Linked DNA regions of Drosophila melanogaster. The protein of the gene in region 2 purifies or fractionates together with the protein of the main gene of each other region. This does not show direct contact. Each region holds a gene or a part of one and is shown on either strand. Other genes may lie near its edges.

Region 1 (3,755 bases), on a different chromosome or scaffold from region 2:
TATCCTCCCAACCGCCGTGATTCATGGGATACGGTTTCAAGCCATCCAGCTCAAACAGTTGTCCATTGATAGGCACAAAGCTAACGAAGTGAAACGCCTCACCCGTGAAGCGGCAACTTGAGACGCCCGCTCCCGTCCTTTCTAGACGGCGCCGAGCCTGCGGCATTGCGTGTGAGTTATGGGCACAGGCCAGCTCCGGAGTGTTGCCAATAGCCAGCCCCTTGTTCTCCGGACTCATGCCTTTGGTGTGGGTTTTTAGTCGACTCAGGGTGTCGCCCAGCTGAAGATTGTTCTCGTTGCAGTTCAGGAGCACCGAAAGCAACGCGTGTGTGGCACAGCTATTGGGGACTACCTGCTGGGCGAAGAAAATGCTGGAAATGGCCTCCTCATCCTTGACGAATATCTCAGCAGTTGTCTCCACAATTTTGCGTCTGGCGCGTCGCTCTTCGATCCAGCGGAAGAGAAATATGAAGCCATATGGACTCTCGATGGGTTTCTGTAGGTCGTACACCTCCTCCACCTGTACATCGTGACCTAAGGATAGTACATATTTTAATAGGATGTGTGGAACAAGGCATATTCAAATAGATTACATCCAAAATCCTTGAGAAGCAGTGTGAAGAGACCTGGGTCGGACTCCAGCTCCAACCAACCGTCTGCCAGTTGGGCCATAGGCATGGTGGTGGCTCCTGAGGCCGTGGAAAGTAGCGCATTGTGGCTGAGACTGTTGTTGCCTGCCGCCACTGCGGCCGCCTGGGCACCACTACCTCCTCCAGCAGCGTTCATATTTGTATGGCTTATACAATTGCTGCGAAAGTATCCGAGATGTTACTTTAATTTCGTTTTTCTGCACAGAGAAGGATATACACATGAAAATCTATCAAAGGAATGTTTACGTATAAGTTTATTTGTCATTAATATAATAAACAAATGAAATAGTTACCGGTTATACTCATAAAAACGTCTTCAATAGTTTGTTTTCATATGACATTTATTGTTGCATAGAGCATAAGTACGTTGGTTTGCTAGTTTTAGGAGCAATCCATATACTGGCGATGTCCGTCCAGAAGTTAGGGCCGTCGGCTGCCGGTTATCTTCTGTCCCCAATTCATTTTAAATATAAAAATATTACCGATTTGGACCAAAATAGTTTTTTGCGCTTCCTCTTATCTGCCTTAGCCATTCACAGGATCACGTAAATTTCAATAACGATAATAATCCATTGCGCGGCGAATGGCATGCAATTTTAACGATCTGGCAGCGCTTGTATGAGTTTACAGTCAGCTGTTATTCACGTAACTTTTACTTTTGCCTTGGCTTTTTGGTAGAAATTCAATTGCTGTTGCTATGGTTCGACCAACACTAGTTGCGCTGGCTAAGCGCGTACCGCTCATACACTTCCGCAAGGGTGGTGCAGGAGTGCCGGGCGCCCAGACAGCAAACCAGAAGGCAAGTTCCCAGGCCGCAGGAGGCAAAAAGGTTAACCCAGCCCATTTCATTTATACACAATACCACGGCTTCTTCTGTGCATCATAACTAATCTTCGTAATTGTCCCTTCTACATTTAGTTGGCCGGTGGACCAGCAATTGAGGACTACGAGCTGCCGGCACGATTTGCCCGCAAGCCAATTGATCCCGAAGAGGCGGCTTACATTAATAATGGGGGTATTCCAAACTGAAGGGGCTCTCAAAGTATGCTGCTTATAAAATATAACACATATTAATGTCACATCTGTTGTAGACGTCTCGGATTATCACACATGTTTAGCGTAAATTATACAAGTTCGAATTAAAAAGATGAAAATAAATTAAGTGCGGCGCCAGAGTGCCGTTGTTTTTTTTTTTTTTTAATGACCGGAGCTTTCGTCGTTCGCTGCGAATGGCATTTGGGGACCGTCGAGGAAGAACAAGAGCAGCGAGCACCACTGCTCATCTGAAACGAAAGCCAATCGGTCGTGATATTTCCACACGCGCAGCTGCTTTTCGATCGGCTCTGTGTTCGTTCGTTTGTTTGTGCTATAACTGCTACCCCCGCCCACTGCGATCATCCGCCTTGCCCCCGCCCCCCGCAGTTCCCGTGCGCCGCGAACAAAGAGTGGAAAATTTTGGTGTCAGCTAAAAAGGAAACCCTTTAGCCATCTTATTTGGGCCCCGTAACGTTGCGGCCCCCCGTAAACACCGGATTCGTTGTATCCCCCACCTGGATGGGTGTGAGGCGTAGTATGCCAGTGAACTGTGCCAACAAGGACTGCCTGGGTCTCCGTAAGCGTGTCTGTGGTCTGCATCAAACGTGGAAGTGGCTGCATCAGACGCCCGCCCTGCACGAATACCTCATCTCGGCCAGCTCCGTGGCTGCAAACACATCCCGAGCCACTAAGAACGCCACAGTCTAAAGTCCAGAGCGACCAAAGCCATTTAAAGACCAAAACGAATAGCGTAGATAGTAGACCATACATAACCTAAAGAAGAGCACACACGGACCACACAGAACCAGGCAGACGACAACCGTAGAAACCAACCAACCAACCAACCAATCAACCAGCCAAAAGCTTTTTTCGACACCATTGACCTTGTTTCGCTTGCAAGTGCATTGTGTCCCAGATCACCTGGCAACAGAAATCACACACACCCGTACGCCCCACTTCCTTGTGTAAGCCATGAGCATGCTGTTGCGACGCAATTCCAGCCAGCTGCGGCTACTTCTCTCCTCCGCCGCTCAGGCCACGCGCCTGGCATCCAGCGGAGTGGAGCCACCATCTGCTGGACAGCAGGAGATTAAAAAGCAGAGGCGCCAGCCACCGCCCGTGGTTCCCGATTCGGAGATCAAGAAGTCCGTGTTCATCTCGCAGTCCAGCGATGTGTTCACCAACCTCGCTCTAGAGGATTGGCTGTACAAAAACTTTGATTTCAGCCGCCACCATGTGCTGCTGCTGTGGGCCAACGACCCGTGCGTAGTCATTGGTCGCCACCAGAATCCCTTCACCGAGGCTAATGTTTCGCAGCTGGTGGAACGCGGCATAACACTTGCACGCCGCAATAGTGGCGGTGGAGCGGTGTACCATGATCTTGGGAACCTCAACTGCACCTTTTTCTCGCCCAGAGAGCGCTACGATCGCAAGTACAACCTGAACATCGTGACCAGGGCCTTGTTCCGCGAATGGGCCATCAAGGCAGAGATAAATGAGCGCGACGACATTGTAGTGATGAATAAGAAGGTGAGGAGGAGCGGTGGCTCTTATCAAGGAATGATGCGACCCCGGCTGATCCCTCACATTGGCATCAGCTCACTTAACCAACAGCTGGGGCTGTGCATCTGGTCTTTATTTGCCCACTCAACGAGTATGCCCTTGTTCAATTACAGATTTCCGGCACTGCGGCCAAGCTGGGACACCCGAACTCGTACCATCACTGCACCATTTTGGCCAGCGCCAACAAATTGCACTTGGGCGAATCTCTGGTGCGGGAGCCGGCCAATTATATTAGCAAGGCCACGGCTTCGGTGCCGTCGCCCATTCGCAACCTGGTTGATGTCAATCGCACGGTGAACGTTGCTCAGCTGCGTTCCGCCGTGGGTTACGAGTATTTGAGAACGGCTGCAACTACGCTTGAAGACGGCGGCAGCACACAGACGATGCAGCAGCGCGGCTTTCAGCTGGTCAATCCCACAGAGAAATGGTTCCCCGGCATTGAGGAATTGCGCTCCAACTACAGCTCTTGGGACTGGGTCATCGGCAAGACTCCCAAGTTCACCGTGC
Region 2 (3,755 bases):
TTTAATCCCAATTCCCGAATTGTAAAGAAGTGTAGTTAATGGCACCTTGCATCTCTGAGTATATAGTTTTATACCGAAAACTATCAAAAACAACTAGACTTATTTGACTTTCCTTGCAGAACTATAACTATGTTCTTGTCAATAAAAGCGTTAATTAAATCCACATCGCTCATCGATGATTGTATGTACGTATGTTAATTTGGGTCTAGACCCTAGCCGAAATCGTTGATTTGCCGAAAATGATTTGCACACTAATTAATACTCAATTTGCAAGGCAGACAAAGTCTCGTTTTGCGGCGTTTGGCTTGGACTGATGTAACCCCATATAGTCTAAATTGCAGGTCAGACGAGAAGTCAGCGGTTTAGATTTGATTCCGGCTCTGCTTAGATTCCGAACCTAATCTTCGGTAGCATATTTTATTTGATTACATTTCAGATGGCTGATGAAATCGGCCAAACTGGCGACTAAGCCAAAAAGCTGACAGCCAAAAGAAAAACGCCAAGTTGACATCCATGGTCGCCATTGCATCAGCCAAAAATGTTGATTTAAACTACTCGAAAAACTAGCAAACATGCGCGTTCAAAAACTCGTTCGAAAATCGAAAAACAAATGAAACGAATATGTCGTCTATAAGTCTGACTGCCCATAGTACTTATCGCTGTTTTTTTTCTTTTTTGGTGCGAAGCGGTATGGGAAGCGATAAGAACAGGCCATAAATGTCCAAAATAAAGTATTAATGGGCTCTATTCTATTTATACATAAGTGGTCTGGAGCGCTGGGAGCGTGTCAGGTTGTTCGAAAATAGTCTACCTATAAAAAAAAAAGTGTGTAGATAATCCATCTACCGGATCTCGAAGCATCAAAACTTTTTTAGTCCCCAAATATTTGCTTATAACTCAAATGGATTTCTATTTTTGGACAACCACTTTCAAACTGGCATAGTTTGGAAACAAAGAAAGATTTTCGAATCTAAAAAATAACATTAAAAATAACCGATTCTTTGCAATAGTTACTTGATATGCAATAGTGATTTTTGCTTAGATTCGTTATAACTTTCTGCCTTTTTGGATTGATAAACAAATCAGGGTAATAATTCCGATTTCGGCCTGTTGCTAGCCTATTAAAATTTTTATTTCTTGTCGCCGCCTGAGATTGTGAGATGATAATGATCGCTTTTTGCTTGACTTTTGATTACAAACCTTTGCGTTAATTGCCATTTTGGTCGTCATCTTGTTGAATTTGGCTGCGAAATCTTCTGTCTCGTTACTTTCAGAAACTTTTGGATTTGGACTCGCTTTGCTGCTCTACGAAATTTCCGTTTTTTTTTTTTTTTGTATCGCTCGTTTAGCGTCTCTTGCACTCGCACTTTGCCGCACTTACGCGAACTGACGCGTTAAATATTGTATTTCTTGGTTCTAGTTTAATGAGCAAGGAACTGCTGCACTTTGCACAGTAAAAAAAAAATTCTTAAAGCACGCAGTTGTGTTTTATTTCGGTGTATGGATTTACTTTCTTTTTTTCTTTCTACAGCCCTTCTGCTTCTGCTCTTTTTCTTTTCTCAGTTCGATCTTCACGGCACGAAGTCTCTGCAAGAAATGAGCTCTCGCCGCCGTTATGGTAATATATATAGCCGATCCGCGGTGCGCATGTGTGTGTGAACGAATCGTACGATTACCGTTCGAGCGCCATTTTAAGAGAATTGCACAGGAATGGCCGCTAAGAGAGCGCAAGAGAGCATACACTGCGATAAGAAGTGTGCATATATGTTGAATGGAATTATTTACTTGCAAAGAATTATATATTGAGATTGCAGCCAATGATTGTCAGCTAAACCATCTCTAAAATATATTATGTGCGGGCAAATGTCAAGCAAAAAAAAAAAAAATGAAAAGGTGAAGTTTTTGCAATAATCTATTACCTGTAAAAATAATAAATATATGAATATAAATAAAATTGAAATATGCAAAAAGTCAATAAACATCATTGTTTTTAATTGCAAACGATTTAATTAACGTATTTGTTTATAACTAAGTCTTACTTTTTAATGGCAACACAAGTAGGTGAGCATTCTGTGAGGTAAGCCCATTAAAGCAACTGATAATATTTATATGCATTGAATCTGGTTTTTATCAGTGTAGCAAAAACTTAAGATGCCGAAAATCGAATGATTTTTTTTGGCTCCCTTAGCGAATCTCTTGCTGTTTTTCGGCATTTCGGGTTTCATACGATCGATCGGTCGGCTCAACTTGTTGTTTCTGCCCCCGCTAAAAGGGGGGGCTATGTTGCTGGGTGGTGAGTGGTGAGCGGGGAGGGGAGGGGGCGTGAAGCCCATGTATACCCCCCATGGGCTGCGTACTTATTTGGGCGCAGCGATCGGCGATTTCGGCCGACATCATGGGTTTTGTTTTTTTATTTCTCGTTTTTTAGCTGCCTTCTCCTTCTGGCGTCGCTTTTTTTGCTTCGACAATTTCGGGCAATTATTTTTGCTAAATTTGTCAGCTTTTTTGACATTTTTGCTCCGCCAAGTTGAGTTTGGCTTCTCTTCGGATTCTAGTTCTTTGTTTGCGTTACCCCAACGTGTGTACTTTTCCATTAAAAGTGAGTACACAATGAAATAGCTACAATGGGATGTCTATATTATATAGTAAATATACTATATACATACTTGGATTTGTGTCCGAAGAACATAAGTTTGAGATATGTGAATTTAAGTAATACATTTTTTGACAATTTTAGACTTAAAGAAACTAATTCTAAAGCTTATATTTGTTTTGGCCCATTTAAACTGCTTTTAGATCGTAAGTTTACAAATAATAGTAAGTTAGTTACTTTTTAAAGATATTAGATATTGAAGTAGATATTTTTGAGTAGCATCCTAATAGATTATGGCCTGGAAATTTAGGTTTTTTTACGACGCACATATGGTATCAGTATATTGAATACTTCCTCCCTCACTTCCTGCTACCTGCCGAACTTCTTGTTCTTTTTTTACCACGCAAAAATATTGGATGGGAAATGTGGAAAACATGACGTGCACGTTTTTTATTTCCCTGTTTTTTCCAGCCCGTAGTTTCCCAACTGATAAGGCTGCTGGGAATTGGATTTAGATTTGAATTTGGCTGAGTTACATGGCTGTGTGCTTAGACGATTGTGCAAAACAGATTTGAGCTGGGCACAAACAAAAAAAAAACACACACACACTTGATCTGACACCCATGTAATCCTGGCTGATGCAATATCTAAATTAGCTACATCACAACCACTGCGCTGATAAGAGAAAAATCAAGTTTTCTTGGGCATTTTTCACGCCATGTGCCGCCTGGCGCTTAAGAGAGCTGCGATCTCAGTTGTAAGAGCTAAATTTTACACGATTCTCTTGAGGTAATTGTAATGATAATGCTGGTCTAGATGCTTCTGCCTCACTCTCCGTCTCAGCTGGCTGATAAACAAATAAATTAGTGGCTTTCAATGTCAGTGGACGCGGTAGGATAGTTGCGGCATCGCACTCGGTCACCCGGTGACCAGTTTGTCGCCTGGTCACTGGGTCATCCGGATATTCGACCTTGTTGTTCCCTTCCAAAAAAGGACCTTGAAGGGTTTTTTTTTTGGGATTGTTCCTATGCTTATCCAAGGTGAAATCCTAAACTGGAGAATGAAATATCTTTAAAATGATACATGTAAAGGGAATTTCTTGGAACCATAATCATGCTTTTCAATACTTTTACTTTTAGAACAGCAAGCGCAACTAAAATGC

What was found. The genes of interacting proteins can lie anywhere in the genome.
Region 1: the proteins of Bcat (region 2) and Lipt1 purify together in Drosophila melanogaster (affinity purification with mass spectrometry, with the first as the bait; one large-scale study listed by BioGRID). This does not show direct contact.

The regions. Positions count from the first base shown.
Region 1 is NT_033778.4:16,195,124-16,198,878, forward strand, and holds the start of Lipt1 (lipoyltransferase 1), read left to right. Parts: upstream 1-1,918; 5' UTR 1,919-2,204; coding exon of another isoform or gene 2,205-2,393; 5' UTR 2,394-2,657; coding exon 2,658-3,215; intron 3,216-3,361; coding exon 3,362-3,755. Other genes in the region: caly (calypso), read right to left, coding at 1-534, 594-786; CG44242 (uncharacterized protein), read left to right, coding at 1,348-1,479, 1,569-1,679; CG42837 (uncharacterized protein), read left to right, coding at 2,205-2,393.
Region 2 is NC_004354.4:13,394,746-13,398,500, reverse strand, and holds the start of Bcat (branched chain amino acid transaminase), read right to left. Parts: upstream 1,603-3,755; 5' UTR 1,231-1,602; coding exon 1,201-1,230; intron 1-1,200.